Elephas maximus indicus: one gene and its partners. The protein of the gene in region 3 purifies or fractionates together with the protein of the main gene of each other region. This does not show direct contact. Links are inferred from orthologs where the notes say so. Each region holds a gene or a part of one and is shown on either strand. Other genes may lie near its edges. The genes, in order: EXOSC4, EXOSC8, DIS3L and EXOSC1.

Region 1 (8,222 bases), on a different chromosome or scaffold from region 3:
TGCTCCTAGGCATTTACTCACGTGAGATGAAAACGTGTGTCCACATAAAAACCTGCACATGAATGTTTCCAGCAGCCGTATTTGTAATTGCCAAAAAGGGGAAGCAACCAAGATATCCTTCAACAGGTGCGTGGGTAAACTGCGGTGGCTGCTCACAGCGAAGTTATCATCCAGCGATAAAAAGAAATGAGCTCTCAGCCACAACAAGACATGCGGGAAACTTCAACGCATGCGCTCTGCTAGGTGAAGGAAGCCAGTCTGGAGAAGCTATGTTCTGTGTGAGTCCAACTACACGGCATTCTGGAAAAGCCAAAACTACGGAGACAGTGAGAAGAGCAGCGGTTGCCAGGGGCACAGGGGGAGGAGGGAGGGATGACCAGGTGGAGCATTGGGCTTTGGGGGGCAGTGAAACTGTCCTGTGTGATACTGTGATGGTGGATATGTGCATTATGCGTTTGTCATGATCCACAAAACTGTACAACACAAAAGTAAATCCCAGTGTAAACTATGGACTTAAGTTAATAATAAGGTACAAAAAAATACATATATCTCCAGTGTCTGGCTCCTCCAAAAAGTGGCCATGCCCCACTGATGGGAAGGCCAGCTGCCTCCCACTGCAGCCCAGCAGAGCCCCCCCAGTCTGAGCTGCCCACCTCTCTCGGCATCCTTGAACTTGATAGTCCTGCGCCGGGGCAGCCGGGGACTGGCGGGCACATTGGCCAGGAAGCCAGAGCCACAGAACCCCAGACCGCTGCTTCGGTTCCTGAGCACCAGCTTCAGCTCCTGGTTCTCCTGGATGAGCTGCACCAGCCGCCGCAGCTCCTCATTCTCTTGTGCCAGCCGCTGGATCTCCTGCCGCAGGCCTTCGTAGCTGCTGAGGAGGGACATGCCCGGAAGCAGGGGCAGCAGCTGGCCAGCAGCCAGCAAGCTGGCCCAGGGCAGTGGAGCCCACCATTGTGAGGTCAGCAGCTGCCCCTGCCCCGTGCCTCGGCCACATTCCACATTCCAGGGCTTAGGGCCCCAGGCCCAGTTATCCCAACCCCTCTGGGTAGGCTCACTTGACCTTTGACCTGTGGGCCCCTATGCCCTATGAGCTTGACAACCAGCAGGTGCCCAGCCCTGCCCCAGGTGGGGGAGGTGGGGGGTGGGACCCCAGAAAACCCCTTCCTCGGGGGTAAAAGCCTCTTTGTCCTCAGCTTCGCTGGGGTGTGCTGCTGGGAGGGGTGGGGGGCAGGATTCAAGCATTCCCACCCACCCACCTGGCCTCCCTCGCAGTGGCCACCAGAGGAATCAACATGGCTGACACCCTGGCCTTGGACTCTCAGCCTCCAAAACTGTGAGAATAAACTTCTATTATTTAAAGCCACCCACTTTGTGGTATTTTGTTATGGCAGCCGAGGTGGGAGCCCACCTGGGGGCACCTCAGAAGAAAGGCCTGAGGAAAAATCAGCCACTGAAAACCTTGTAGAGCACAGTTCTACTGTGACACACATGGGGTCAGCGTTGGGTCAGCCGCAGCTGGTTTAAGACATGGATGCACCCCTGACACCCATCTGTGGGCCAGAGGGGTTGCTATGGAAGAAGTACGGCATACCCTCTTCCCAGCCCTGGTACAGTACTGCAGGGGTTCTGCCAGGGTGACGGGAGGGCTGGCAGCTCCACAGCTCTGCTGAGCAGCTGACTCTGTTTGGAAGGCAGTGTGTAGAAACTCATGCCTCCGGGGCGTTGTTAAAAATTCAGCTCTTAGGGGTGTCATCAATCCCGAAAAACAAGTTATTTCTGATACTAATAGCAACAAATGAAACCAAAGACCACCCAGAAGTTTAACAGAGAAAATCTGGGAAAGAGACAGCTAAAAAGGACTCAGCCAAGACTACATTCATTCTTGGCGGCCCCGAAGGCTGTGCACAGGCACGAGGCTGTGCCCACTCGGGCTGCCAGAGCAGGTACTTGAGAGCCACTAGTCCCTGGGTGCTTTCCTCTCCAGCTGCTTCTTTAACAAACTGCCACAAGCTTAGTGGCTTAAAACAACAGAAAGTTATTCTTACAGTTCTGGAGGCCAGAAGCCTGAACTGAGTCTTCTGGGGCCAAAATCAAGGTGTCAGTGGGGCCGGTTCCTTCCGGAGGCTCCAGGGGGCCTGTGCCTTGCCTCTTGCAGCATCTGGTGGCTGGTGGCCCATGACTCCAGTCTGTTTCTCTGTGGTCACTTTGCTTTCTCGTCCGTAGTCACATATCCCTCTGCCTCCCTCTTATAAGAACACTTATGATTAGGTTTAGGGCCCACGGGGTAATCCAGGATCCCCTCCTCCATCCAGTATGGCTAGGAGAAAAGGACTATAACCCATCTCAGCGTCAGACCAGGTGCAGCCGCAAGGCTCTGGCTGGCTTGCTAACCCTGGTGCCGCCATGACTGACTAGACTTGTGCTCCCTGGGAGGTGGTATTTCCCTAGCCCATCACAGTAAATCCATCCCACGTGCTCTTTTTAAAATGCAACATTGGCATTCCTCTCATAGGGCAGTGGGGTCTATGTCCTCTCCCCTTTAGCCAGGGCAGAACTTTGGGACAGCCTTGACCCGTGGAGTGTTGCCGGAGTGACAATAGTGATAGTAATGTCTGGCTTCTGAGGCGAGGTCATAAAAACACCATATACATCACCCTGCCTCTTGGGATGCTCACCCTTATATCCCTGCCGCCATGCTTCGAGGAAGCCCAAGCTACATGGAGAGGCCACATGTAAATGTTCTGACAGCCCCAGATGAGGTTCCAGCCAACAGCCAGCATCAACCAGCAAACATGTGAGTAGGGAAGCCTTTAAGATGACTCCAGGCCCAGCCACCATCTGGCAACAACCACACAGAAGATCCTAAGTGCAAACCGCCTAGCTGAGCCCAAGTGACCCCTCGAACTGTGAGAGATAATAACATGTTTTTGTTATTTGAAGTCACTAGGGTCTGGAAAGTTTGTTATGTAGCAAGAGATAAATAGACACACAGTACCTTTTTGAAAAAAAATGAAGGTATCTTCATTCTCAAAGGAAAAATAAAAAGGAGGCCCATTTTATTGTGGTGTGGGGGCTGATGTAATGGGGAGACAAGTGGATCTGAATAGTGCCAGGTATGGACCAGGCTGGGATACAGCTGAGAACACCTTCTCAGCCCCCTTCAAACATGCCTCTGCTCTGGGTCAACGTTAGAACCATGTCCGTTCATCCCTTCACTTTCAAACTTATGGCGTGGAATCTGCCTCCTGAGCCGCTGCAGCGGGGCTGCATAATGCAGCCTGTAGGAGCGGAGATACTAGCTCCGCACTGGTGAATGGTAAGCGCTAGGAAACGGGAGACAGGAGGTGCCAGGGCAGGAGGTCCCCTTCATTTCTTCTTCCTGTAGGCAAAACAGCAGTTCCTGGAGGAGCAAATCCAGGTAACCAAGTCATCGGACCCCATGAGGTGAGATGCAGGAGTCCACCAGGGCCAGGAAATGCAGGAGAGAGTAACAAAGCTGTGCTGGGTAACACCTCGCAGGCTGGCCAGGATTATTTTAAAATCTGTGACATTTACTTCTGGTGGGAAAGAAGGGAAAAAGGAACTCTGGTACATACAACCTTCACCCAGAAATCCTACTCCTTGAGCACACTGGCTCCCCGTCATGGGAATGGCCAGAACGAATCCTGGTAGGGTACTCCATGGATGTCAAGCAGCCAACGAAAAACCAACACGAGCTCCGTTGGACTGTTTGGAGAGATTTCATGAGGAGTTTCTGGAAGAAAAACAGAAAAGTATGAAATGATCCCATTTTAAAAAATAACCAGAGATCCCAAAGTCCCTGTGTGGCTGTATGTGTACAAATGCATGTGTTGGTGTGTGATTTGTATGGAACTACGGGAGCATGAAGACAAATACAGAAGACACTATTTGTTAGATCATTAAAGTAGATGTGGAGGGTGGCGGTGGCAACATAAGAACCAAGCAAATGAAGAGAAATTTTAAATTGCCTTAGCAGCCATCTAAGATGCATCAATTGGTCTCAATCCACCTGGAACAAAGGAGAATGAAGAACACCAAGGACACGAGGTATTTATGAGCCCAAGAGACAGAAAGGGCCACACTAACCAGAGACTACATCAGCCTGAGACCAGAAGAACTAGATGGTGCCCGGCCACAACTGATGACTGCCCTGACAGGGAACACAACAGAGAACCCCTGAGGGAGCAGGAGAACAGTGGGATGCAGACCCCAAATTCTCATAAGACCAGACTTAATGGTCTGACTGAGACTAGAATGACCCCAGAGGTCATGGTCCCCAGACCTTCTGTTAGCCCAAGACAGGAGCCATTCCCAAAGCCAACTCTTCAGACAGGGCCTGTAAGACAGGAAATGATACTGGTCAGGAGTCACCTTCCTGGATCAAGTAGACACATGAGGCTATATGAGCAGCTCCTGTCTGGAGCGGAGATGAGAGGGCAGAGCGGGTCAGAGGCTGGCAGAATGGACACAAAAATGGAGAGTGGAGGGAAGGAGTGTGCTGTCTCATTAGAGGGAGAGCAGCTAGGAGTATACAGCAAGGTGTATGTAAGTTTTTGGATGAAAAACTGACTTGGTTTGTAAGCTTGCACTTAAAGCACAATTAAAAAAATATATATCCAAAATAGATAGTTTTTCCTTAAAAAAAAAATTAAACTGCCCTTCAAAGAACAGGACCACACATGCGTATGATGTAAAATTGTGTCTAAACGGTAAGAAAGTGAAACGACAGGAAACGGTCTGCTTGCAGAGTAGAGGCTTCCACTCCGACAACCGCTGGCTTCGCCCGGAGAACCTCGAAGGCGCCTCTCAAGAAGCAGCAAAGTCGAGCCAGTTGGCGCCGGGGACTGAGCGGAGCTGGACCCGCAGGCTCGGCGCCCTCGGGCCTCCGGGTTCTGGCCAAAGAGGTGCGCCCGGCGGGGCTGGGGCGGGCGTCCTCTGCCCACCGGTGTACCGAAGCGCAGCGGCGGCCAGAGCGGGAGGGCCCCGGGGCCGTCAGAACAGCGCCCCGCCGCAGGAAGGCTCCGCCACCGGCCGCGGCCACAGGCTTCCGTCCCGGGCCAGTGCAGCGGTCGTTCCCCGGGACCTGAAATGCGGAGTGGGGCCCTCGGAACTGTAGTTCCCGAGGTCGTAAGTAGTGACACGACCCCCGGAAACCCAAGTCCAATTGACCGGAAGTGGGCGCGGACTCGCCGGAAACCGAGATCCTGGAAGTCGGACGTAGGGAGCGGGGCCGCCGGGAACTGTAGTTCTCCGCGAGCGGGGCTGGCTACCTAGTGGCATGGCGGGGCTGGCTACCTAGTGGCATGGCGGGGCTGGAGCTGCTATCGGATCAGGGCTACCGCGTGGACGGGCGGCGAGCCGGGGAGCTGCGCAAGATCCAGGCGCGGATGGGCGTGTTCGCGCAGGCCGACGGCTCGGCCTACATTGAGCAAGGCAACACCAAGGCGCTGGCGGTGGTCTACGGGCCTCACGAGGCGAGTGGGTGTGCACCGGCCGGGCTACCTCCGGGCAGGTGGAGGGATCGGGCCGAGGCGGGAGCCGCGGGGCGCGCGGGCCGCGCGGGGCGCGCGGGGCGCGCGGGGCGGGGTGCTCCTCGGTTCACTGAGCAGAGGCGTCAGGGCCGCATCTCACTTGGAGTAGAAGCCGAAGTCTTCACTTGGGTGCCGCACGTGGTCCGCACTTCTCATCGGCCTTGTCCCTTGCGCGCTGCATTCTTGTTCGCTGTCCCTGCGGGTGCCGCGCGCACCCCACCGCCCCACCTGGGCACTCAGCCCTGTGGCTTGTCCGTCGCCGTCCGGATGATAGCGTAGCGGACCCCGTTATCCACGTGGCAAATTCTCTCTACGAGCGCACACCTCTATTCCTTTCTCTACCTTTTTGTGCCTATCACCTGAAAACATCAACTTTCTCAATAGATGAAATTTATGTTTGTCTCCCCCACTGGAACATAAACGCCACGAGGACACGGTGGGACCATTAGTTTTTCTGCCGCGCCCCCAGCACTGTCACAGTGACGGCGGCGTAGGCACTGAAGAAAATGTTTGCTTGGCGAATGAGTCTGGGGCTCAGCTTTCCAGACTGAGAGAACCAGAACGGTGGGAACCAGCACAGCGTGTGTGCAGAGCAGAAAGGCTACTGGTTGGTCGAAGGAGGAATAATTCCCGATGAGGTTGAGGGGTTTCCAGGAAGGAGAGGATCCGGGACCTTGTAGACCAGGGAAAGGTTTGGGGTTTATTTCACACGCGGTATGAAGCCTTTGAAGGTAAGCAGGACATGTGAGTGTGTAGGTGAGAACCAGACTTGGTGTTTGTAAATAAACTCTGGATGCCCCGTGGAGGGTGGAAGTGGGTGGGGCAAGGATGGAAAGAGGGAGGCAGTTTAGAGAGATGTGATGCCAGAGGTGATGGTGGCTTAGGCTGCCCAAGTGGGCCTCCCTCAGGCTGTGTTTCGGAGGTGAGTAGCTACCCTTTGGTGAGCCGTTGGAGGTAGGGGGAGGGGCTGAGGTTTGGGCCTGAGCCACAGAGGACAGGGAAGCGTGTGCTGGGAGAAGTGGTCCGGCTCATGGGCCCTTCCTCCCTAGATCCGGGGCTCCCGGGCACGAGCCCTGCCTGACCGGGCACTGGTGAACTGTCAGTACAGTTCAGCGACCTTCAGCACAGGCGAGCGCAAGCGGCGACCACATGGGGACCGCAAGTCCTGCGAGATGGGCCTGCAGCTGCGCCAGACCTTCGAGGCAGCCATCCTCACACAGCTGCACCCTCGTTCCCAGATTGACATCTATGTGCAGGTGAGCAGGCAGCAGCCCTCAGCCTGGGGGCAGGGATGTGGGGATGGAGCTGAGGGTTCAGCAGCCTGACCGACCGATGGCCTCGGGGGCTCCCTGCAGGTGCTGCAGGCAGATGGTGGGACCTACGCAGCTTGTGTGAACGCAGCTACCCTGGCAGTTATGGACGCTGGTATACCCATGCGGGACTTTGTGTGTGCATGCTCAGCTGGCTTTGTGGATGGCACAGCCCTGGCGGACCTGAGCCACGTGGAGGAAGCAGCTGGTGGCCCCCAGCTGGCCCTGGCCCTGCTGCCAGCCTCAGGCCAGATTGCACTGCTGGAGATGGACGCCCGGCTGCACGAGGACCACCTGGAGCCGGTGCTGGAGGCTGCTGCCCGGGCTGCCCGCGATGTACATACCCTGTTGGACCGTGTGGTCCGGCAGCATGTGCGAGAGGCCTCTGTCTTGCTGGGGGACTGACCACCTGGCCACCACGCTCTGAATAAAGTCCTGCTTCTCTGCTCACACGAGCCCTGCTGTGCTTCAGTCCCCACCCTCCCCACAGAGCTTCCACGCCCCATAGCCTGGCCTGGTGTTTGTTCCTGGGATAACCAGAGGCCCTCGACCATATGTCAAGTGCATACCTCCTGCACCCTCAGGTTTCAGACCTGAAGAGAAAGATGGAGCTGGGCCTGGGGGGTGGTCTCAGTGGAGAGAACAGCATGACCAGGAAAGGCTGAAGGCAGAGAGCTTTGACGTGGGCCTGGCAGAAAAAGCCAGGCCGCTACACTGTGGGGTTTGTACATCACCACCCACCACACCCTTCTAGGGGGCCTGAGCATAGGGCTTGAGAGAGAACTCAGTAGCTGTGGGTACCAGCAAGGGGATGTGGAGCCATCTCCCACATCCTCTGGGCCACGGCTCAGACTGCATGTCTCTTGGGCTCCAAAAGTACAGCAGACGCCTGCTCTCACTGGTGTCTTCTCCCTCCGAGGTCTGACCATCCCTGGTCGGACACACACACCACAGCCACTGCACCCTCTGCAAGCTTCCCTTTCAACAACCTCCTTTCTGAAGATTGGCTCCACCGCCTGCCACAAACCGGCCTGAGCCTGAGCACCAGCCCCTGCAGCGGGCACCAGGGTTAAAATCCCAGAGACCTGGACTAACCACCAACTCCAGTCACTCGGCTCTGACAGTGTCCAAACTTGCCGGCCTTCCACCCGCCTGCCCTTGTAACCCTTCTCTGATTCCCCTGCCAGGCGGGGACGCCCAGCTATCGGACGGCGCCTTCTTGCTGCCCCGTCCCTCCCCTGCCAGCTCAGCCGGCAGCCGCTCATCTTCACCACCTTCCCCAGTCGTGCGGCCACCCGCCTCCCTCTGGCGCCGCGGATGGCCGGCCCGACCCTCCCGGGGGCCGCTCCCTGCAGAT
Region 2 (8,439 bases), on a different chromosome or scaffold from region 3:
GAATCCACTCAATGGCAGTGTATATGGTTTTTGGGGTTTATAGGTCCCTAGGTGGTACAAAGAAACCCTGGTGGCATAGTGGTTAAGAGATTGGCTGCTAACCAAAAGGTCAGCAGTTCGAACCCACCAAGCACTCCTTGAAAACCATAGGGTTTTCAAGGCATAGGGGCAGTTCTACACTGTCCTATAGGGTTGCTATATTGGAATCAACTCGATAGCAACAGGTTTGGTTTTTTTTTTTTTGGTTTTGGTGGTACAAGTGATGCTTGACTGTTAAGCTAAAGGTTGACAATCAGAAGCGCTATGGAAAGAACCAGAGCTATGGAAAAAAAGCTTGGTGATTAGTGTCCATAACGGTTATAGCCAAGAAAGCCCTATGGAGCAGTTCTGCTCTCTAACACATGGTGTCATCACAAGTTGGAGTCAAGTCAACTTGATGGCAACAGGCATGGTTTTTCTTATGTTGCCATTTAGCAAGAACATTAGTAGCACCGTAAATGAAATCACTTATTAGAGAAATGTGAATATCAAAGAAGAAAACGTGACACATCCTTCATAATACACAGATTTAGATATTTAGAGAGTACTTTATCAGGGACACTCAATATGTGACCTATTCCAAAGATCAATGCATCTCGACACGGCAATTATAGGTCTATGAATGTAGGAACAAGAGGCAATAAAGCTGAAGATGCTGTTGCCTCCTATGATGCATCTAGACAGGGGCATGCCAAAGGACATACCTGATACCCAGTGGCAGATATGAAGGCATCTTCCTATGTGCATGGCTGCTTTAGAAACTGTAAGGCAAGGTGGAGCATAAAGAAAGGAATTATGCTTAAAGACAGGAATCATAAGCTGGAAGGCAAAAAGGGTTCCCTAAGAGCTGTTGTTGGGTATGTTCCTTCCCTGTTTGGTGATTTTCAAAGCTTCCTTGGCCTTATGGAGCAATGGGACAGCTTTCCATAAATCTCTGTGTTTTTACTACCCATGCTACAACAATGGAGGAGATGTGGCATAGCTTTACGGGGTCTCTGGTGAGCAGAAATAAAATTTGACATTTGTTATAATATTCTTTATGTTCTACTTACTGGTAATTCTAAAAGCAAGTTTATTTACCTTTGAAGTCTGGTCTTCACTGCCATCATCAATTACTATCACCTCATATGTGAACACAGGATTTTGTTTCTGCAAGAAACAAAAATAAAATACCACAATCTGACATAATCAAAAATTTTAAGGCATTTAAAAAACCACTCTTTTAGTATCTATCCATATAAATAAGAATACACATACATAAAACAAAAAGGCTAAGAACAGGAACAGAGAAGGAAACACTGGCTAAATCTCTCTGTGCACTCTGCTCTTCCCCTCACCTCCCTGCATCACAGGGAAGAAGTCAGGGCCTTGGGAGTCTAAGACATATTTGGAACAGATTTGAAGTCACAGAGTCTACAGTCCATCCGGGCTCTATCACTTCTTAGCCTTGACCTTGGACAAGTTAACTTTTTTAGCTGGTTTTCTCATTTTTCAAAAAGGGGAAATAAAACCTAGTCCACGTGACTGGCGTTAAAAACACGTGTAATAGAAAAAGTAGAATCCTCACATATACAAAGAGCTCAATGCCCTTCATCTTTTCTTCGAGTTTTTACATATATAACACAGTCCCTATTTCAATGAATACACCCCAAATTAAAGTAAATCAAAAGAAGGAATTTTCTAATAAGAACCAGCCATAAAGCTCGGTTCATTGTTAAACTCCCCAAGGAGACGCCAATGGCCGCTGATGCTACAAAAGAGGGGCATATGTTACTTTTATGTAGAGAAAAGATAAGAATAATATCTGAGGGGGGATTCCTGAGAATAATAAAGAAACATACAAGGTCTGCAGTTATATGCTGTCACTCAATCTTAAATATATCATCAGGAAAGAAAGAGTAAAAAGTGTGTGGGAGAGAAACTTCCTTCTCTACTTTGTCCTGGGGGTGCCCACCTGCCTTTGGACGTTGTGGGCTACATGCTGGGCTTGCCTGCAAAAGGCTGACGGCCAGCTACAAGCTGAGCAGGCTAGAACCCAGCAGGCCGGAGAGCACAGCAATCAGGACTGCCCATGCATGGCTGGTGCTGCCTCTCGCACTGGGTCTAGCCTGGATGACCTGGTCTAGTTTTCAGTGGAGATATCAAATTAAAAGAGAAAACACAGTACCTGTCTCTTCTCTAGATAGTCCAGAGCTTCATCCATCATCACAGGCACTGAAAGAAAACCCATTAAAAATTGCTTCTGAAAATTAATCACAAGCCCCAGCACACCTAGTTTATGTATGGAAAAAGTCTGAAAAACCGAACTAGTCCCTCTGGGATTTGACCCAATGGTCACTGCCATCTGGAAAGTCTTCCTGTGTCGTGTTCACTTTTCTAGAACATATCCAGTCCTACTTCTTCATGTTCTCGCTCCTGTTCGTTACAGCTAATACCCATTCTCCCCTCTTCTGAACTACAACCATCGCCAACTCTGCCACTCACCACAGCCCACGCCTAATACTGTTCTGACAAAGAAAGTAAAGTCAAATACCTTAAATTTTCTTTTCTCCCCAAATTACTCCTTACCAAAAAATCAAATAGTGCTTACATCGTTTTTCTTCATTGTATGCAGGCACGAGAACAGAAAGCTGTTTGGTAGGTGAGTCCCTTATGCTAGGTAAAGGCTCCTTCTGGCCTCTGGCATTTAAGAAGGACTTCTCATCTTCATGTTGATGGAGGTGTGGCATTTTCAAAGCAGTTATAAATGCAACAAAGGAAATCTAAAAGCAGACAGGCAAAAGAGTAATCATTTTGCTGACCTTTTTTTACATTCATTTTGTTACAATACATCAGCTACCAGAGCTTCATCCATCATTACAGGCACTGAAAGAAAACCCATTAAAAATTGCTTTTGAAAATTAATCACAAGCCCCAGCACACCTAGTTTATGTATGGAAAAAGTCTGAAAAATCGACTTTTTCAGCGGAATTCTTTTTTAGCAGAATACTCACTTTCTGGAGTCCCTCGGTGGTTATCGAGTCTGCCCAGAGGTGACTCAGAAAAAAGGCCTGGCACCCTACCTCTGAAAAATCAGCCACTGCAAACTCCATGGCGCACATGGGGTCACCATGAGTTGGAATCAACTCAACAGCAACTAGTTTTTGATAATCACTGTTTTTAGTTCTTTAAAAATGGTCTAGAAGTGACCCTACAATTAGAAGACAGTCAGTGGCCTACTTATGAACCAATGATTGTCCTTTTCACCCAGCTAGTTGCTGACACACTAATGCCTCAGAAGGTTCTTTCTCTCTTCCCACCTGCCATTCCCCAGGCCTCTTAGGCCTCTGTCATTCAAATCTAATAGAGAACAGCCACTACAGGAAATCCAGCCGGCTCTCAGGTGTCCTTCAACTCTGATCATCAGCACTCACACAGTGAGGTTCCATCCTGGCAGCGCTGTGTAGGCTGGTAATCTTAATGTTAAGAGCGACAAACTTTTCTCCATTTACTAGACAGAAGGCTCATTCCAAATTATATGGGAAGAGGTCACTCGGCAATTTTTCTATTACTTACAGATCAGCAGATCAGCAAGTTTTAAAAATGTTTTCGTATTTCCTTAATAAATGACACAGAAAGTCTGAGTTTGAGTTCTGCCGTGTTGCCCCTTTTAAAGGCAGAAATTGTAGGCTATTTAATTCTGAGACATAAGGCCCCACAGACACATGGTAAAGTGATGAGCCTAGGCTTCATCTTTTCTGGTCATCCTGTGTCCCTAGTGGGTCTTCTTGATCCACTGACTTGTCCCAACCTGTAACAGGTGGCTGCTGTCAGTGCTCTGTCACCACTTTTTATTTCCTTAACCGTATCAGCAGAAGGGCACGTATTCTCAGGGCCTAAGACCACCCTGGGTGGGGCCAGGGCGGCAGAGGCTGAATGCCCTGGAGGGACTCTTAAAAGGGCGGGTGGGCAGGGTCCCTGGGGGCCAGGGGTGAGTGAGGTGGAAGCCGCAGGCTGGGTGGGCGCGTCCCAATGTGAGAACCGACACGGGCTCTGGGCATCAGAGAGGCAGTCTGCAAAGAAAAATAACGACCCGGAGAGAGGAGGAGTGAAGTTCGAGAAGAATTCTACGACCAAGGCTTGGAAGGAAGGGCGATGCGGCGGATGAGACGTCCGGGGAGCCGGAGCCTCCAGCAGGGCGGTGAGCCCAGGCCCACGTCGGTCCTAACCCCTGTCCTCACCAGTATCAGCGCTGCGGCCGCCAGCGCCACGCCGAGCACCCCCAGCTGCAGCAGCAGAGGCGACATCATCCATGCCAGAGCCGCCGTGCGGGCCGCCGCAGCCACCCTATCCCTCCCCTACACGCACGCGGAAGCAGGGTTCGCCCCGCCTCCCGCCACCAGAGAGGCCACGCCGGCCTGCGCCCGCCGGCCACAGCGCCCCCGCGCGGCCACGGCAGGCCACAGCGCCCAGGGCAGGCTGGCCCTTTCTTGGTATGGTTGCCAGATTTCCCAAGTAAAAACGTTAAGAAACCAAAACCCACTGCTCTGAGGTCGATTCCAACCCATAGCGACCCTATAGGACACAGTAGAACTGCCCCACAGGTTTCCAAGGAAGGCTGGTGGATTCGAACTGCGCACATTTTGGTTAGCTGCTGAGCTCTTAGCCACTGTGCCAACGGGACTATTTTGGGCCTACTCATACTAAAATATTGCTTATCTGATTGAACTGGGTGTCCTCTACCTTAGGAGCTAACCTAAAGGTCGGAGGTGGGAACCCACCAGCCGCTCCACGGTAGAAAGCTGTGGCAGTCGGCTTCCGTCAACACTGCGGCCTTGGAGACCCGATGGGCAGTTCTCCTCTGTCCTACAGGGTCGCTGAGTCGGAACTGACAGCAGTGGGCCTGTCCTGTTTTTCATCTAGCAATCCTAACCAGGAGGGTGGTGGAGGCCTTGAGCCACGACATAGTCTACACAACACAAGCTGCTCCTTCGGAGCCTTCTCCAGCTCTGCTGAAGTGTAGCCTGGTGCTGACCGCGACAGCACAAAAAGTTCGGTAATTCTCCCGTGTTGGGGAGACGCACGCTGCAGGCCCCGGCCACGACGGAGACGGGAAAGGACGTAGCCACTTTGAAATAATGCTCCACACTCAACGCTCGATTCTTTGTTATAAATTCGGCTCTCTTAAATTCTTGGCTTTACTCTCAACTAGCAGCATGCTTCCAAAGAGGGGCACCAAACACATCAAAGGCAAGAACGGCGACCGGAAGCCTGGCCAGGGACAGTTGAGCCCAAGCCGGGCCCGGCACAGCCCAGACCGCCACCGCCCCGAGCGCATCCCCGCCTTTCGCTTTCTCCGAGGCGGGCGAAGGGCGCGCGCCTCAGTGTGCACAGTGCGCAGGCGCACCCAACGCCGCACATGCGCGCCGGCGGGAAGATGGCGGCCGGCTTCAAGTGAGTGTCGGCGGCCCGCGGGCGGGACTTTTGGGTTCAGCGGGGCAGCCGCCGCAGGCTTGGGTGTCGGCCCCTTCAACGTTATAGCTAGGATTCCTTCACCTGGAAGCGGTCCCCGCCGGGGTCACACTTCTTTCCCTGCCCAAGCAGGCGACCAGAGCAGTTGCGGTGAAAGGAAAGGGACTTTTCCCCAGTGGGACGGGAGAGGGAAGGGTCTGGGTGCGCGGAGCCTTGAACCCCCTGCGAGCGCTCGTCAGCTGGCTGGGTGGACGTGCAGACCCGGGAGACCGGTTGTGATCACACGCGCCTCGTTCTCCTTTCTTGTTATTTATTTCTAAAAGGATTGTTGCTTGTTCGGAAGTTTGAGTTAAACCTTTCTGTGCCGCTCTGGTGAAGCCCTTGGTCGCCTGACAACAATGTCTTTAAAAGGATAAAATAAGAAAGGAAGCCAGTTATATTGTAATACATTTATGTATCTGTTAATACGAGTACTTTTTAAAGTGAAGTTTCTTAAACAAGATCTAGTGGTGAATGTAGTAATTACTGGAATTTCAGAGTAATGATGAGCCTAAAGGTACCTTAAAAAAAAAAAACCTTGGACAAGTAAAATGTAAAAGGGACGTATCCGTGGGTCTCACTGGTGCTATTAATGTTATTTTGGTTTATTGTCTGTGGTCATAATTGAAGGATATACTAAGTTTCCGTTGTACACCCATTGCCGTCGAGTGGATTCTGACTCATAGCGACCCTTTAGGACGGAGTAGAATGCCCCGTAGAGTTTCCGAGGAGCGCCTGGCGGATTCGAACTGTGGACCTCTTGGTTAGCAGTGGTAGCACTTAACCACGACGCCACCAGGGTTTCCAGCGACCCTATACGATAGTGAAAATAAAAATGTAACTTTTCATGCTCACTAGGTTAAAAATCTCAGCTTTAGAGCAAGAATAGCATGATTATTTTAACACCTGGATTAAGTCATTTTTAAAGATGTCCAAGGGCTTTGGTCTCTAACCCTGTAATTGTTTAAGGAAGAGTGAAGAATAGTGATTTAGTGCAATTGCTACTGTGATAGGGCTCTGTTTTTTATAATTACTTATAGGTGATAACATAGACATCAGAATTCATGTAAGAAACTTAGCTACAAATTTTGGAGATTGGCTGGATCACCAGACCCTTAAGAGCCTTGCCAGTTTTGGGATTTATGTTAAGATTCTTTAATTTGCCTGATAAATTTTTAACTCATGCATTTCAGAACCGTGGAACCTCTGGAGTATTACAGGAGATTTTTGGTCAGTAATGTCACTGTCTTTTTCATAACAATATCATATGCTTCTTTTAAGGACAAATTTCAGATATTCAAATTAAATAATTTGAATTTGAATTTATTTTGCATTAACATGGTTTAATGTGTTTTACCTGATTGTGTGTAAAATATACCTGTATATGTTCCATTTTCATATAAATAAACATTACATTTATTCAGAAAGAGAACTGCCGTCCTGATGGAAGAGAACTTGGTGAATTCAGAACCACCACTGTCAACGTAGGTGAGGATATTTTGAGTTCTAAAATAGGATGTTGATGTTAAGCAGTTTGTAAAATAGTATTTTTCTTAGTTTTTGTATATTAGTAGAGAATTATTTGTAAGTTTACTACCCTCTCAACTGATAAATTCATTTAAATTTCAAAATAACTATAAAGTGTTTTTTTCCCTTTCTTCCTTCAAAACCACAAAGACAAGGCTTTCTTATGGGCCTAATACTTATTCAGTCTTCTTGATGCAAATATGGTATTTTCCATTTCCAACTGTATGATATGCCCAAGTTCTAGCCTGTGAGCCACTTAAACATATTTCAGCCAAATCCTACCATGTCTATGGAATTGGAGTGATTTCTTCCTATTAGATTTATGTACACAACGATCCTGTGACTGTCCATGAAAAATGATTAACTCAAATTCAAGGGCAGGCAAATATTTCTTAAAAGAGTAATTTTAAATAGTTATAGCATTTTAAAATCAGACTCCTGAGCTATAAATTTTCATAAGCCACAGACTACAGATGTGTAGATGGCTAATATTATATTTAGAAAACTGAGGTTAACATTTTAGTTATTATATAGATAATTCTGTAGCTGTTTTTTTTTTTTTTTAATGAACTTTTTCATTTTACCTAAATATCTTTTCAGGTTCAATTAGTACTGCAGATGGTTCTGCTTTAGTGAAGCTGGGAAATACGACAGTAATTTGTGGAATTAAAGCGGTAGGTTTAATCTGTATCTTATTGATGTGAATTAGCAAAGTAGTGCCATATATTAGATTGTAATATACTGTTCTAATTCTACTCTTGATTAGGTAGCTAGGTATCAGTTGTTTGATATTTACTTTAATTTTCAAAGAGCTTCTACCTATCTATGAGTGTTACATAATACAGCCCTAGTTTAATGACTCAGTTATAATTTAGGAACATTTGTCAAATGTACCAAAATGAAATTATTTTTAATCTCACCACCCTTTATTTTTAGAAACTGGTTGTCATTGCAAATTAAGAGATTTTTGGCAGCATTCTTTTAGCCAGTGATGGCATTTAATCTGTGTGAAATGTGTAGAACATAGAGATTGTTGAAGAGAAAAGTGTGACACGATAATAGCTACCATTTACTGAGTGCCTGCTGTATTGCAGGTTCCTTGCTGGGTGCTTTACAGAATTATCCAGTTTAATGCCTCACACTCAACACTTGATTCTTTGCTATAAATTCGGCTCTCTCTTAAATTCTTGGCTTTACTCTCAACTAGCAGCATGTTTCCAAAGAGGGGCACCAAACACATCACTTGAGGTATTATTTCTCTGTCTCCTTTGTTTTACAGATGAGGTTCAGTAACTTGTCCAGGTACACAAGGTTCACAGATAAACATACGTCTGGCTCCAATGCCTGTGCTTTTTTACTACACTGTTCTCAGGGTTATTTAAC
Region 3 (7,419 bases):
AACAACCAAAACGCAGTCTTGTCCATTGAAGATCACCAGTTGCGAGAACTAAGGGATCATGCTTTTTAAAACATGATTCGTACATTATTGCCACAATGCAAGCAAAGGAATACTTGATGGGCCTTGGATTATTTAAAGTACCTATAACACCAACTTTCAATACAGCCCCAGACACGCTCTCTTCCCTAAAAGATTACTTGTTGTAATTTGGATAAAGTTTAGAGCTACAAGGTGCTAAAGAGAGATGTTCAGGGCAGATTAGTATACAACCAACATTTCCCCCCAATATAACCAGAAGTAAAAGCTTTCCAGGGACTCGTGAGCAGCTGTCTGAAGCATTTTTATGTAAGGAATAAATTCAGCTACTTGCTTGTCCTCTGAGATCTCCAGAACTGACCTCCTGAATCAGGAAGGGCATCCTTGTGCTTTGGCCACAGACCAGCATTGGGCTGTGGTCCATATATTCCATTGGAGGAGCCCTGGTAGTGCAGTGGTTATGCCCTCTGCTGCTAACCAAAAGATTGGTGGTTCGAACCCACCAGCCACTCCCTGGGGGAAAAAGATGCATCAGCCTGCTTGCATAAAGGTTGCAGCCTTGGGAATACTAGGGGGCAGTTCTGCTCTGTCCTATAGGGTCACTATGAGTCAGAATCAATCAGACAGTAACAGGTTTGGTTTTTTGGTTTATGTATTCTATCTCTAGGAGCCCTGGTGGCAAAATGGTTAGGAGCTCAGCTGCTAACCAAAAGGTCAGCAGCTTGAATCCACCAGCTGCTCCTTGGAAACTCTATGGGGCAGTTCTCCTCTGTCCTACAGGGTCACTATGAGTCAGAATCAACTCAGATGGCAACTGGTTTTTTTTTTTTTTATTTCACCTCTGATCTCATTCATGTCATCTGACACTGCAGGATAACTTGACATAGGAATAGACAGGGGACCATGACTCTTTTAACATGTTCCCCTAGAGAGAAGCTACTGTCCAACAGGTTGCCCACTCACCCATCCACCCCCAGTTCTGCTCACTTCAGCATCATAGGAAGCTTTGATATTCCCAGCTGGCTGAGTGAGCTGCTTTAACTAGAGCTCAAGGAGACTATCAACTCCTTAGATGCAGGAGTTGTATATTTTATACATCTTGGCAAAGCACAGTAATTAGTTAAGAACCTGCTTTGGATTGAGTCAGATTCTGGTTCGAGTATTGATTTCATCACTTAATAGCTGGGTAACCTTGGCCTCTTAAACTCCTGTTCCCTCATCTGTAAAATGGGGCAACCAACGCCTAACTCCTTTGATTCATTGTAGAAATTAAATGTGACGTGTGTTCGTAAAGTTACTGGTACGGCTCAAAAATCTTTGTTGAGTACTTAGGAAAAACAGTGGGTTCTAGCCAACCAAGGTTGTATGATCTCAGAAGCTGCTGCTCTGTGAGAGCTCTTTATCAAAAGCCACAAATATATAAATAGTGATTGTGTCAGTGAAAGTTTAAAAGAGAATTTCTTTGCCAGAGGCTGCAAATGCTATAAAAGTTGAGGTTCAATAGATAGTGTTTGTCTCGAGGGAAGTGACTGGTTTTCATTTTATCTGCACTGACTTTTTTTTTTAATAATTTTTATTGTGCTTTAAGTGAAAGTTTACAAATCAAGTCAGTCTCTCACACAAAAATTCATACATGCTCTGAATTACTTTCCCCCTCATGAGACAGCCTGCTCCCTCCTTCCACTCTCTCTTTTCGTGACCATCTTTGCCAGCTTCTAAGCCCCTCTACCCTTGCATCTCCTCTCCAGGCAGGAGATGCCAACATTGTCTCAAGCGTCCACCCGAACCAAGTAGCTCATGCCTCACTAGCATCCCTCTCCAACCCATTGTCCAGTCCAATCCATGTTTGACGAGCTGGCTTCAGGGATGGTTCCTGTAGTGGGCTAACAGAAGGTCTGGGGGCCATGATCACTGGGGTCCTTCCAGTCTCAGTCAGAGCATTAAGTCTGGTCTTTTTATGAGAATTTGGGGTCTGCATCCCACTGTTCTCCTGCTCTCTCAGGGGTTCTCTGTTGTGTTCCCTGTCAGGGCAGTCATCGGTTGTGGCCAGGCACCATTTAGCTCTTCCGGTGTCAGGATGATGTAGTCTCTGGTTCATGTAGCCCCTTCTATCTCTTGGGGTTGTTATTATCTTGTGTTCTTGGTGTTCTTCATTCTTCTTTGATCCAGGTGGGTTGAGACTCATTGATGTATCTTAGATGGCCGCTTGCTAGCATTTAAGACCCCAGATGCCACTCTTTAAAGTGGGATGCAGAATGTTTTCTTAATAGATTTTATTATGCCAATTGACTTAGATGTCCCCTGAAACCATGGTCCCAGAACCCCTGCCCCTGCTTTGCTGACCTTCAAAGCATTCAGTTTATTCAGGAAACTTCTTTGCTTTGGTTTAGTCCAGTTGTGCTGACCTCCACTGTGTTGAGTTTTGTCCTTCCCTTCACCCAAAGTAGTTCTTATCTACTATCCGTTTAGTAAATACCCCTCTCCCACCCTCCCTCCCTCCCCTCTCTCGTAACCACAAAAGAGTGTGTTCTTCTCAGTTTAAACTATTTCTCAAGATCTTATAATAGTGGTCTTATACAATATTTGTCCTTTTGCAACTGACTCATTTCACTTAGCATAATGCCTTCCAGGTTTCTCCATGTTATGAAATGTTTCACAGATTCATCACTGTTCTTTATCAATGTGTAGTATTCCATTGTGTGAATATACCATAATTTATTTATCCATTCATCTGTTGATGGACACTTTGGTTGCTTCCATGTTTTTGCTATTGTAAACAGTGCTGCAATAAACATGGGTGTGCATGTATCCGTTCGTGTAAAGGCTCTTATTTCTCTAGGATATATTCCGAGGAGTGGGATTGCTGGGTCATATGGTAGTTCTATTTCTAGCTTTTTAAGGAAGCGCCAAATCGATTCCCAAAGTGGTTGTACCATTTTACATTCCCACTAGCAGTGTATAAGTGTTCCAATCTCTCCACAGCCTCTCCAACATTTATTATTTTGAGGTTTTTGGATTAATGCCAGTCTTGTTGGAGTGAGACGGAACGTCATTGTAGTTTTGATTTGCATTTCTGTCATGGCTAATGATCGACAGCATTTCCTCATGTATCCGTTAGCTGCCTGAATGTCTTCTTTAGTGAAGTGCCTGTTCATATCCTTTGCCCATTTTCTAACTGGGTTGTTTGTCTTCTTGTGGTTGACTTTTAGCTGAGTCATGTAGATTTCAGAGATCAGGTGGTCGGAGATGTGGTAGCTGAAAATTTTTTCCCAGTCTGTAGGTGGTCTTTTTACTCTTTTGGTGAAGTCTTAAATGAGCATAGGTGTTTGATTTTTAGGAGCTCCCAGTTATCTGGTTTCTCTTGGGCATTTTTAGTAACATTTTGTATTCTGTTTATGCCATGTATTAAGGCTCCTTACATTGTCCCTATTTTTTCTCCCATGATCTTTATCGTTTTAGATTTTATGTTTAGGTCTTTGATCCATTTGGAGTTAGTGTTTGTGCATGGTGTGAGGTATGGGTCCTGTTCCATTTTTTTGGAGATGGATATCCAGTTATGCCAGCACCATTTGTTAAAAAAGACTATCTTTTCCCCAATTAACTGACACTGGGCCTTTGTCAAATTGCACTGACTTTTTATATGTATTAAAAACACATGGAATTAAAAATAAATATAACTTCTTTAAGAGGAAAAAATGTTAGGCTGACTTATTTGCTGAATCTTTTGGCTCTTTTAGGGGTAGCAAGAGGATTGAACAGAAAACACTAATAATTACCCCACGTTAATAGGTAGCCCCATCCCCACATAGGCCTGGGGGTAGAATGAGAATAATGGTCCTTTATAAAAACCCCATTGCCGTTGCGTCTATTCCTACCCATAGCGATTCTACAGGACAGAGTAGAACTGCCCCATAGTGTTTCCAAGGAGCGCCTGGTGGATTCGATCGGTCGACCTTTTGGTTAGCAACCGAGCTCTTAGCCACCGCGCCACCAGGGCTCCGTAGTCCTCTATAAAAAACATAGTTGCGCTAAATCTTTCTTCACAGGAATTTAAACCATCCTCCCTATAATCCTTATCTCCCGTAAATCTCTGGGTAGATTTTTTTCCACCCCTCCCTGCCCCCTGGTAATTGGAGGATGAGGAGAAACTGAGGCGGGGGCTAGGTCCCGGGCTCGGGTTGGAGCACCCGACCCGCGGGCCTCCAGCGCCCAACACCGGGCCCGGGTGGTTACGGCGGTTTCGGTGTCCAGAGCGCCCAGGCTGCTGTTCGGCTGGTCGGGCCCAACTGGGAGCCCGGCGCGGAGGGCCGAGGGGGCGGGCCTGAAGCCGCGGCCTCGCCTCCGCCTGCGCCGCGCTGCGCCCGCCACTTCCCGGCCGCCCAGGGCGGCCCCGCGCGGCCCGGAGCTTTGCCCGGTCGAGTGCCGCCACCATGCTGCAGAAGCGGGAGAAGGTGCTTCTCCTGAGGACCTTCCATGGCCGGACGCTGCGGATCGTGCGGGAGCATTACCTGCGGCCCAGCGTGCCCTGCCACAGCCCGCTCTGCCCGCAGCCCGCCGCCTGCCGCAACGGTCAGGGCCTGAGAGCGAGCTAGGGCGGCCGGGGCCTGGCGGGAGCGAGGGGAGCCGGGCCTGAGAGGGAGCGAGGGGAGCGGGGCCGCCGGGGTGCTGCGTCCGCGGAGAGGCGGAAGAGGGCGGCGGGGAAACGGGGCGCGAGACCGCGGTGGCGCCTTATAAAATGGAAGGGCCCAAGAGCCAGACGCCCCCACTTGGCCGAGGCCCGGTGATTTGTGTTTTCCGAGGGGCCTGTGAGCACAGGAACCTGTCTCTTCTGGCCCCCAGGATCGTAGAGGGAGCAGGCGGGAGGTGAAACAGTGAGCCCCCGAGCCCTTAGACCTTCAGTGAGAGAGGGTCTGCAATCTCTTGCTGTAGCAAGCTGCTGTTGCTCATTTAATATTTTCTGCTTTGCTCCCCATAACTTTTCTATTCTGCTAGCAGTGACTCCTCAGACGTTTATCCAGTGGAGTGCCTTCTTCACTGTTGTGTGCTGTGGAGTCTGTTCTGACCCATATGAACCCGGTAGAACAAAGTAGAACTGCCTCATAGGATTTCCAAGACTAATCTTTATGGAAGCAAATTGTCACATCTTTCTTCCGTGGAGCACCTGGTGGGTTTAAACTGCAGACCTTTTGGTTAGCAGCCTAGAGGTTAGTCACGGTGCCACCAGGGCTCCTTTTCATCACTGTATGATTATTTATTATCTAGGCCCCTGGTTGTGCAGGAAGGTCTTAGGAAAGTTGGATTTGGAACTTGTGTGCACTAGACCTTCCCCCACAGTTTTCTAGGCTGCTTGGGTGATGCAAACGGTTACGTGCTGGTATACTAGCCAAAAGGTTGGTGTTTCAGCCTACTGAGAGGCACCTTGGAAGACAGACCTGGAGATCTGCTTCTGAAAGGTCCTGGCCTTGAAAACCCTATGAGCGGTTCTATTCTGCACACATGGAATTGCCGTGAGTCGGAATCAACTCTGGGCAACCAACAACACAGCGTTGTGGATTTAGTGATGAAAGATGAGTGTAGTGTCCTGTTCAGCTAATGTTTGGAATCCTTTGCTTTGTGGTTAGGATGAACATTTCAGTTACAGGTTGGCTAACCAGCTCTCCGCTACAGGGGTGGGGTAGGAATCCTTCCATTCCTTGGCTTCCACTGAGCATCTTTTCTAATCAGTTCAGTCTTTCTGGCCCTTGGCAACTTCTGGGCACATTCAGAAGGTGGAGATAAAACTGACTTGAAATTGTTGGGCATAGGCAAGTGGTTAACTTAAGTATATTTTGGGGTCCCCCACTTGAATGTGAGTGTTTATCGGCAATGAATTAACACAGATACAGGCTGTGCTGAAAATTTTCTTGTTTGTGTGACAACATCAGTCATCCTCTCCCTCTGCAGCTCCAGTAACACCATAAATGATATTGAGTGCTAATCACGCTTGAAGAAAAATGAAGGTGCTGCATTTACCTGAACTTTGACCTTCTACCAAAGTAGATTTGTCTTTTACAAACTTCACGGTGTAGTTAAGGATGGAAGTTGTTTTGCACACTGGGGCAGGATGACATTGAAATAGTAATAAACCAGATTTGAAAATGTTGTCTAATATCTTAAATTTTGACTTATGTTTCAGATGGGAAACTCTTGACTAGCGATGTGACTCATTACGTGATCCCTGATTGGAAAGTTGTCCAGGATTACCTTGAGATCCTTGAGTTTCCTGAATTGAAGGGAATTATTTTCATGCAAACAGCTTGCCAGGCAGTGCAGCATCAAAGGGGCCGGAGGTATCTGTTTTGCATTATTTTTTAATTTATGGTGTACCCCCCCTCCCGCCTTAGAAAAGATCCCATGTTGGGGAGAGGAGGAGGGAAGGAGTTCATTATTTTATTAGAAAGGACTTTTTGAACTAATTTGGTATTCTCTTTGCTAGTGAGGAATGCAGTAACATTATTTTGTTTCTGCTTCAACACCTGGTCTATAGATCAATAAACTGCAGTGTCCCCAGTATGTGGTTATTTAAGATTGCAGCCTGAACTTGGCTTTTGGTTTGCATTTTTATAGTAGTGGCGGTTATTGCATCTTTCTTTTTGATACATTATTTAATCTTGTTTGAGATGTATAAACATATTGTTTCTAAGCTTACATTTTTGGGAAAAAGAGAGTACTTTATTTTTAAATTTTAGACACTTTTGTGGACACAAATTGTATTTGTAATCACTTGTTCAGTGGAACCAGAAATGACTTGTTGTATTTTTGTATTACTAGTGGAACTACCACCCATAGTAATTGTATTTGCTAAACAAAGGATTTCTGATTGAAACCAGTCTAAAATGTTTGCCTTGTACCTAAATGAAAAATAATTGTCCACTTTTTAAACAAATATTCTAAAAAGTGATTTTGCCTGATTTAACACTGAGGAAAGGTTTATGATTTGGAGTTGGAAACTGTATGGAAATACCATGTTAAAATTATACATCAAACCTCTGAACACTCAAGTTATTTAAAAAGCAGAAAACTATGTGTTTATTCTTTTTGAAATGTGTCTTCTTCAGACCTTGCTGGTAAAAGATCATGTGTTTTTATTTGTATATGAAAGTGATAAATTGCCCTTATTGTGTACTCAGTTCAAAACAACGTGCATTAACTAGATTGTGTGCAGGGTTTTCCAGATAGACTATTTTAAAATGAGCTGGAAGTTGATGTTCAGTCACAGAGATATAGGTGTTTATACACATGCAAGTTTAAATGCTGCTCCAGGTGTCGTATTTCAATTTCTGCTACTAAAATCAATTTGTTGTTATCATTCGGATTGCTAACACACTGCCGAGTCTTTTCAAC
Region 4 (7,534 bases), on a different chromosome or scaffold from region 3:
GCGGATCACGTTGTCCACCAGCCAGTAGATAGGCTCAAAGGCAGCGTCAACAGCCGTGTCACTGCCCCCAAAGGAGTTGTAGAGCAGAGAGCGCAGGCAGACCTTTCCATAGCGCCAGCGCTGTACCAGGCCCCGGAGCAGAGGTGGGCAGCGGCGCCTATAGCCCAGGAGCAGAAGCAGGCGCAGGCAGAGGCGGGCTGGACCCAGCAGCAGGCTCCGCTGGCCCCGCATGGCTCCTAGGAGAGCATACCACTGTGAGGATCCAGCGTGGTTCCTGTCCCTCCCTATTCCCACCAGCAGGGAGACCCAAAGCACCAGCTTAGAGGACAAAGACCTAAGACTGGGACCCAGCTAGGCCAGTCACAAGCTGTGTGAAGTATGGAGGTCACTTCATTTCTTATGGGAATATGCAGTGCCAATGTCTCAACCAAGTTACATGGGAGGACTGCAGGTTCTTAGCCTACAGAAATCCTATATACATCATACCAAGTGGGTGCGCAGCAAATCTGAGGTGATGAACATCTAGAGTACAGGGCCATTATGGACTGAACAGTGTCCCCCATAAACGTGTTGTGAAACCCAACCTGTGGTTATAATCCCATTTGAGAATGGGTGTTCTCTGTTATGATAATGAGACAGTGTTAAGTGTAGAGTGTGTCTTAAATCCTAAAATCTGTAAAACCAGATTAGGCATAGAGAAGCACAAGGAGATATGAGACAGATGCCACACACCACATGAAGATCACCAAGGAACAAGGACCTTCCCCCAGAGCCAAGAGAGAAAGCCTTTCCCTAGAGCCAGTGTCCTAAATTTGGACTTCCAGCCTCCTCAACTGTGAGAAAATGAATGAGTTTGTTAAAACCCCCCACTTGTGGTATTTCTGTTGTAGCAGCACTACATAACTAAGACAAGGGCCACGGTAAAGGGGTGAAGGAGAGGCAGGCAGCTCTAAGCTCAAGAAGATTCCTTGGAGTTACCTATGTAGACAGATGACTGGATGGAGTATGGGTCTCCTGCATGCCCTGTCTCATCAGTCCTCCTCCTCACAACTGTTCTTCCCAAGAACAGCTGGCTCCTCTAAGTGGGGGAGTGAGTGCATGGCACACGGACCTTGCACCTAGATCTTCCTTGATGCTATCTGAGTCCTGCCCGTGCACTCAGGGCTGACTTTACAGGCCAGCAGACCCAAGCTGGCAGCATGAGATTCCCGTCTCCTCATCGGGACAGCTCAGCTGCTCCTTGCATAACACAAAATTCCTTATCTCCAATTCCAGCCCCAGCCCCAGCCCCAGCCCAAGGATACACAGAAGCCAAGACAACCTCAGGTATCCAGAGCAGAATACCACCACAGACAGTAAATACCAGCAGTGGGAGGGGCCCCCTGCTGCCCTTGGACCCAAGCTTTCCAGCCAGCTCTTTAGCCCTTTCCACAGCACCCCTGCAAATGCCTCCATCTCCTCTATGCTGTGTCTACCTCATCCAACAACAATGGAAGGAGGTCGGCTGCCCAGGCAGTGCCCAGAACAGAAGACAGAGATGCTCTAACAGATTCCTGTGATGATCCTCTCATCAATTCTGCAGATTAAAGTCCTTTAGCAGAAAAGAAAGTATTTCATTTTCCCCCAGGATGGCCACAGAGGGCTGCTTTGTCTTCAGCAACTCCACTGACTTATTTAACAGGCAGCTCAAAACCCAGCAGAAACTGGAGGAGGCTGCTCCACTCTAGGGAGGTTTCAATTCGGTAACCGGAGCAATGTCTCTCCTTGCACCCTGGCTCATCCCCACAAAAGGTCTTTCAAAGAAAGCACTTAATTACCTCCTTCCACAAGCCTTATAACTGCCTAAGGCAAACAGAAACCCAGCAGACATGGCTTACAAAGACAGGGAAGAAACACAAATCCACAGGGACCCATACTCTGCACCAGGGTAAAGGAACGAGCCATTCCTATCACCTCCTAGGAAACTAAGAGAAGGCATGTGGCGGGGGTAGAAAAGAGAAAAAGGAAAAATACAAACTTCCCACTTTCTCTGAGTTGGACTCCTATTGTTTGGGATCATGATTTGTCTTGAAGCATGAATTTTCAAAATAGTGGACAGCCACATCAGATCAAAGTGGGACAAAGCATTACCCCACAACAAATCCAGGTGGCTTTTGGATTGTCCACACCACCGTTCATTCCCTCATTATGGTTAATGGAGAGTTGCCTATGTATAGCTGGCAAATCAGTTGCATTCCTTACTTGTGAAAAATGTAAATTATATGCCACCGTAGAGCCAACTCTTCTAGTCAATAAAAAATACCTTCCTTCTCAGATTCACTGCTTTTCCCATCGTTCTCACCCACCTCTTGAATTTCTAAGCCCCACAGGAAAGCCCTGCCTCAAAAACTAGATTTAGTTTTTGAGTAAGTTCTGTGATCTTGGGCAAATCATTTAATCCTGCTGGGACTCAATCTCCTTGTGTTCCCATACAATGAGAGGGTAGGATTAAATGCTAAGGTCCTTTCCAGCTCTAACCCTTTGTGATTCTATGTATATAGTTAATAAGGTATAAAAACCCACTGCTGTCAAGTCAATTCCGACTCATAGCGACCCTATAGGACAGAGAAGAACTGTGCGGTAGTTTCCGAGGAGCGCCTGGCAGATTCAAACTGCCGACCTCTTGGTTAAGAGCCGACCTCTTGGTTAACAGCCGACCTCTTGGTTAACAGCCGACCTCTTGGTTAACAGCCGTGGCACTTAACCACTACGCCACCAGGGTTTCCAGTAAGGTATAAATGAAATGTTTATAAAGTGCTTAGCACAACGATACCTGCCTCATAGAAGTGCTTGATAAATACTTGAATGAATAAATGACCTGGAACACTTGGATGAGTGATGCAAAAGTGGAAAGGCTGGTCAGATGTTTATCTGTCCTACAAATACCAGCAAGGATACTCCTAATGATAACAATTGCCGCTACCATTCTTCTTGATCAAAGAGAAACTGCAACTGCTATTAGAATCATACCACTTAAGAGCTAGAAGACATTTAGAAAATAAGTCCAACCTGAAGCCAACCCAAACACATAAACAGTTTGTATATGCAGAGTACAGAACAGATTTGAGTGTACAAAGTAGGAAGCCAGAGCTCCCCAACTTTAGCTACTGGGGAGGGGATGCCAGGAAAGAGATGTGTATATAGTCCATCGGCTACAATAAAGCATATGGAGTTTTCATCTCAGGAAATTAAGGTGGGGGGGCAGACCTCAAAAAAATGGGGGGGAGGATTTCAGAGTGAACAGGGGAGGAAGTAGAGCAAAACAGTTTCACTGTCACTCCAAGAACAAGCCCTGAGCACTCTGACCCCTCAGTGGTAGCCACAGGCCATAGTGACATCTGCCAGCCAACTAGGGATTGTAGGCCACAGCACTAAAGGGAGAATCCCTTCTTCCCAAGGCACTAAATCACCATCTGCCTCATAGGGAAGCTGGAAATGGGGGTGGGGAGTAGACAGAGAGGGATAGATTCCAAAGCCACCAGCAGGCAGAGGAAACAGATTAAAAGTCGTGGCAAATCTCATCTGAACAAAGATGCTGCTCTCAGGATATCTGCAATCTCAAGCAGCAGAACTCGGGCGGGCATCAGTAAAGGGCAGCATTTTATTCATTTGCATGACTTCGCTTCCGGACTAACGTGCTGGGAAGAAAACAGAGTGGCAATATCAGAAGCTAAGGATGGGCCCACACGACCAGAGCTCCGCTTGAGAGAATCCGACTGCAGAATCCGAAGCTGCAGTTAGAGAAATCGGGAAGAGGTTTTATTTCTCAAGGAGGACGGCGTGGTCAAAGTGCGATGGGCTGAAAGTTAAAAAAAAAAAAAAAAAAAAAACTCCTGTGTGGACTCTACCTTGAACTATCTCCGAGACTTTGAACAAGTAAAATCCTGTCTCTGGATCTGAATTTCCAAATCCATGAAATGAGCGAGTTGGGTTGCTTGGCCTTCCTGCTCCGCTCGTTACCGCTGCCCGGAGGGTGCGCTTGGCCGAGCCAGCGAAGGGCACGGCCCTGCAGGGCGGAGCAAAGAGAGCAGGAACCCGGGGACTCCACAGGGCTCCAGGAAAGGGCCCCACCTCAGAAAAAGGGACCAGGATGGCGAGCAAGAGCCGCGGCTTTGCTCTTACCTGCCGGCTCTCCGATTAGCTAAATCCAGCCCCGCAGGCTCCGCCGCCCTTCACTGCCAGCCCCTCCAGCTCGGCGCCCAGACTCAATCCGACCCAGCGTGGCCCGCCGGCCGCAACACCAGCGGGGGGACCCGGACCCACAGCCAGCCCATCCTCGACCACAGACAGGCGCAAGCGCAACAGCAGGAGCCCTGGAGCTCCGCCCCGGGACCTGTCTCGGGACAACCTGGGATATGAAGTTTGTCCCTCGAGGAGGGGGTGGGACTCCCGTAGATCACGTGATAACACACACCAATTGGCGCGTTTGTTACTGACGAGCTGTGCCTGGATTTGGCCAATAAGAAGTCGGCCTCGTTTTCATCCGGGCTCTGGGACAGTGGCTGTCATGGCGCCCCCCGTGAGGTACTGCGTCCCGGGTAAGTGAGCTGTCTGCCGAGTTTTGGATTGGGACAGAGGCCGGAGGCTGGACGGCCAACAGCTCCTGGGGGTCTGTGGCTGACGCGGCGCTTCTTCTGCAGGCGAACGTCTGTGTAACTTGGAGGAGGGCAGCCCGGGCAGCGGCACCTACACCCGGCACGGCTACATCTTCTCGTCGCTTGCCGGCTGCCTGACGAAGAGCAGCGAGAACGGCGCGGTAAAGGCGACGGCCTTCCGTCCCCTCGGTCTCTTTCTCTTAGGCTTCCTTTGATTTCGCGGTTCTTAGGCAGGGGCGCTGAGAACGCGTTTTCAGTGCCTCACCAATAGAAAAACTAGGTCTCTGAATTTTTTCCAGCTGTAATCTTCGTTGCTGTGCGCCTGGCCACCCTCGACCAGCTGTGGTGATCTGGCTTTGTTGTGCTGCTAACACTCGGGGTGGGAGGTTGGGGGGAGGAGAGGTGAGCTGACAGTAACCCAGCCCAGGCGTGAGCTGAATGCTGAGTGTCGCCTGGCTTCAACCTTCTTCACTCTCTCCACCCTCGTTCTTTGCGATCTCGTCATATTGGCTTCTTCCAGCGTCGCTAAAGCGTTAAGCTCTCTCCTGCCACAGAGCCTTTATACATGTGCCATCAGTCTGGAACATGCTCCACTCCCTCTTAGCCTAGTTAACACCTATCCTCCTTCCTACCTATTCCCCTCAGCCTAGTTTTTCTTCTCCTACTCTACATACCTATCCTAGTAGTCTCTCAAGTATAATCTCAAAGAAGCCCTCCTGAACCCACTAGTTGGGGAAGAGCGTTTTGTGTCTTCTCGTTTGTCGTTTATTTGTTTTGTTAAACACTCTCAGCTGTATTCCTTTCCTTCCAAGCACTCATTTCAGCTTATAATTAAACAGTCATCTATATATTGCCTACTAGACTCTTAAGTTCCAGGAAAGCAGGCCTCACCATCATTCCCTCAGCACCTAGCACAAGGTAGATGTTCAATAAATGTTTGTTGAATGAATAAGTAGTACTATCCACACTGACCCAAGGCGTGGTGTTTTCATTCGCCTCAAATGCATGTGAAAGCTGCACAGTGAATAAGGAAGACCAAAGAAGAATTGACGCCTTCAAATTATGGTGTTGATGAAGAATATTGAATATACCGTGGACTGCAAGAAAAATGAACAAGTCTGTCTTGGACGAAGTACAACCAGAATACTCCTTGGAAGCACGGATGGCGATACTTTGTCTCACGTGCTTTGGACATGTTATCAGGCAGGATCAGTCCCTGAAGAAGGATATCATGCTTGGTAAAATAGAGGGTCAGTGAAAAAGAGGAGGACCTTGAATGAAATTTGATGGCGCAGGACTGGGCAGTGTTTCCTTCTGTTGTACATAGGGTTGCTGTGAATTGGAACCAACCTGATGGCACCTAACAACAACATCCTCCCTAGTTCCAGAGGCTGATCCAGGATTAGCTCAGGATCAGCTGAGCAATCTTTGAAGGAGCAGCTTAAGACAAGTAGCATAGTAGAAAAAGGATTCAGAATTATAACATGTAGGTACTGACTCAGTAGACCTTGATTCTGCCTCAGTTAAAAGATTTAAACTCTCTGGCATTAGATTCTTCCTCATCTGTGAAATGAGGAGCTTTTTATTCAACCAGTTGTGAAAATATCCTTAACATTCCTTAGTTTGTTCACAGAGGTCTGTTGAGCATTTTCACATGCCAGGCCCAGTGCTAACCTCTGAGGGTCTAGTAATAAACCAAATACAGGTAATCTCTGCCATCAAAGGGGCAGAAACATGAATTGTAAACAAATGCCCAAATGAGTATATGGCTGCAAGCGTGTGAGTGCTTTCAAAGAATATTACAGAGTACCATGAGGACCTATAGCAGACAAACCCAGCTTAGTCAACAGAAGTAACATTTAAGCTGAACCTAAAGGGTAAGTGGGAGTTGGGTAGATGGGAGAGGATAGTACTGACAGAACAGAGCTCCTGAGTGAAAGGAAATTTAGTGAGTTGAAGAAAGTGAAAGAAGGCCAGGAAAGCTGAAGCATAGTGAGCAAGGGGGAGATTGTTAAAAAATGAGGGAGCAAGTGCCAATACCATGCTCAAAGAGAAAACTCTGGAATTATTCCCTTAAAAGAGAGCAAGTATGGCCACTATTAAATAACATTGATTTGGAAATTCTAGCCTGTGCAAAAAAGTAAACAGAAAGAAGTAATAAAATTTTGGAGGAGCCAAATCATCAGTGATCATAGGCAATATGGTTGTTTACCTAGACGATCTAAGAGAATCACCAAAAAAACTTATTAGAACTAATTCGAAATTGTTACAGGATGTTTTCTGGCAGCATTCTTCCCATGACCCCTTGGTTCTCCCATCTTGGTCCTCCCATTTCCTATAAATGGGTTATAAATCAATCCATGGTAGACCTGCCCTGGTGACCTTAACTGGGACCGAGGGATTCCTTTAGTATTCCCAAGCCACAAATAACTTTACTTAGAGCTTAGCCAGGATTCCCATTTTTTATTCTCTCTGTAGCTTCCTGTGGTATCTGTGAGGAGAGAGACAGAATCTCAGTTACTGCCAGATGTGGGGGCTGTTGTAACCTGTAAGGTAAGTTGGTCCTAACCTCCCTGCTTAGGACACTTGTCCAATGCTGAAATCGCAATCATTCTAGAGCTTTGCTGTCCAGTACAGTAGCCATTAGCCACATACCCAAAAAGCCAAACCCATTGCCATCGAGGCAATTCCAGCTCATGGCGACCCTATAGGACTGAGTAGAACTGCCCCACAGAGCTTCCAAGGAGCACTTGGTAGATTTGAACTGCTGACCTTGGTTAGCAGCCATAGCACTTAACCACTATGCCACCAGAGTTTCCACTAGCCACATATGGCTATTTAAATACACTTAAATAAATGAAAATTAAATTTAGTTCCTTAGTGACACTAGCCACATATCA

Evidence for each region.
Region 1: the proteins of DIS3L (region 3) and EXOSC4 purify together in Homo sapiens (affinity purification with mass spectrometry; 5 studies listed by BioGRID and IntAct, with this or other methods). This does not show direct contact. The link is inferred for Elephas maximus indicus from reciprocal best matches to the Homo sapiens genes DIS3L and EXOSC4.
Region 2: the proteins of DIS3L (region 3) and EXOSC8 purify together in Homo sapiens (affinity purification with mass spectrometry; 4 studies listed by BioGRID and IntAct, counting the BioPlex papers as one, with this or other methods). This does not show direct contact. The link is inferred for Elephas maximus indicus from reciprocal best matches to the Homo sapiens genes DIS3L and EXOSC8.
Region 4: the proteins of DIS3L (region 3) and EXOSC1 purify together in Homo sapiens (affinity purification with mass spectrometry; 4 studies listed by BioGRID and IntAct, counting the BioPlex papers as one, with this or other methods). This does not show direct contact. The link is inferred for Elephas maximus indicus from reciprocal best matches to the Homo sapiens genes DIS3L and EXOSC1.

Annotation. Positions count from the first base shown.
Region 1 is NC_064833.1:814,873-823,094, reverse strand, and holds EXOSC4 (exosome complex component RRP41), read left to right. Parts: upstream 1-5,202; 5' UTR 5,203-5,327; coding exon 5,328-5,498; intron 5,499-6,604; coding exon 6,605-6,811; intron 6,812-6,910; coding exon 6,911-7,270; 3' UTR 7,271-7,685; downstream 7,686-8,222. UniProt on the Homo sapiens protein: Non-catalytic component of the RNA exosome complex which has 3'->5' exoribonuclease activity and participates in a multitude of cellular RNA processing and degradation events.
Region 2 is NC_064832.1:18,311,500-18,319,938, forward strand, and holds the start of EXOSC8 (exosome complex component RRP43), read left to right. Parts: upstream 1-5,408; 5' UTR 5,409-5,437; coding exon 5,438-5,472; intron 5,473-6,722; coding exon 6,723-6,759; intron 6,760-6,953; coding exon 6,954-7,017; intron 7,018-7,656; coding exon 7,657-7,730; intron 7,731-8,439. Other genes in the region: ALG5 (dolichyl-phosphate beta-glucosyltransferase), read right to left, coding at 1,120-1,188, 2,207-2,253, 2,630-2,801, 4,260-4,328. UniProt on the Homo sapiens protein: Non-catalytic component of the RNA exosome complex which has 3'->5' exoribonuclease activity and participates in a multitude of cellular RNA processing and degradation events.
Region 3 is NC_064831.1:56,428,701-56,436,119, forward strand, and holds the start of DIS3L (DIS3-like exonuclease 1), read left to right. Parts: upstream 1-4,360; 5' UTR 4,361-4,466; coding exon 4,467-4,605; intron 4,606-6,211; coding exon 6,212-6,365; intron 6,366-7,419. UniProt on the Homo sapiens protein: Catalytic component of the RNA exosome complex which has 3'->5' exoribonuclease activity and participates in a multitude of cellular RNA processing and degradation events.
Region 4 is NC_064834.1:49,202,022-49,209,555, reverse strand, and holds the start of EXOSC1 (exosome complex component CSL4), read left to right. Parts: upstream 1-4,492; 5' UTR 4,493-4,546; coding exon 4,547-4,577; intron 4,578-4,679; coding exon 4,680-4,795; intron 4,796-7,112; coding exon 7,113-7,187; intron 7,188-7,534. Other genes in the region: palmitoyltransferase ZDHHC16, read right to left, coding at 1-231. UniProt on the Homo sapiens protein: Non-catalytic component of the RNA exosome complex which has 3'->5' exoribonuclease activity and participates in a multitude of cellular RNA processing and degradation events.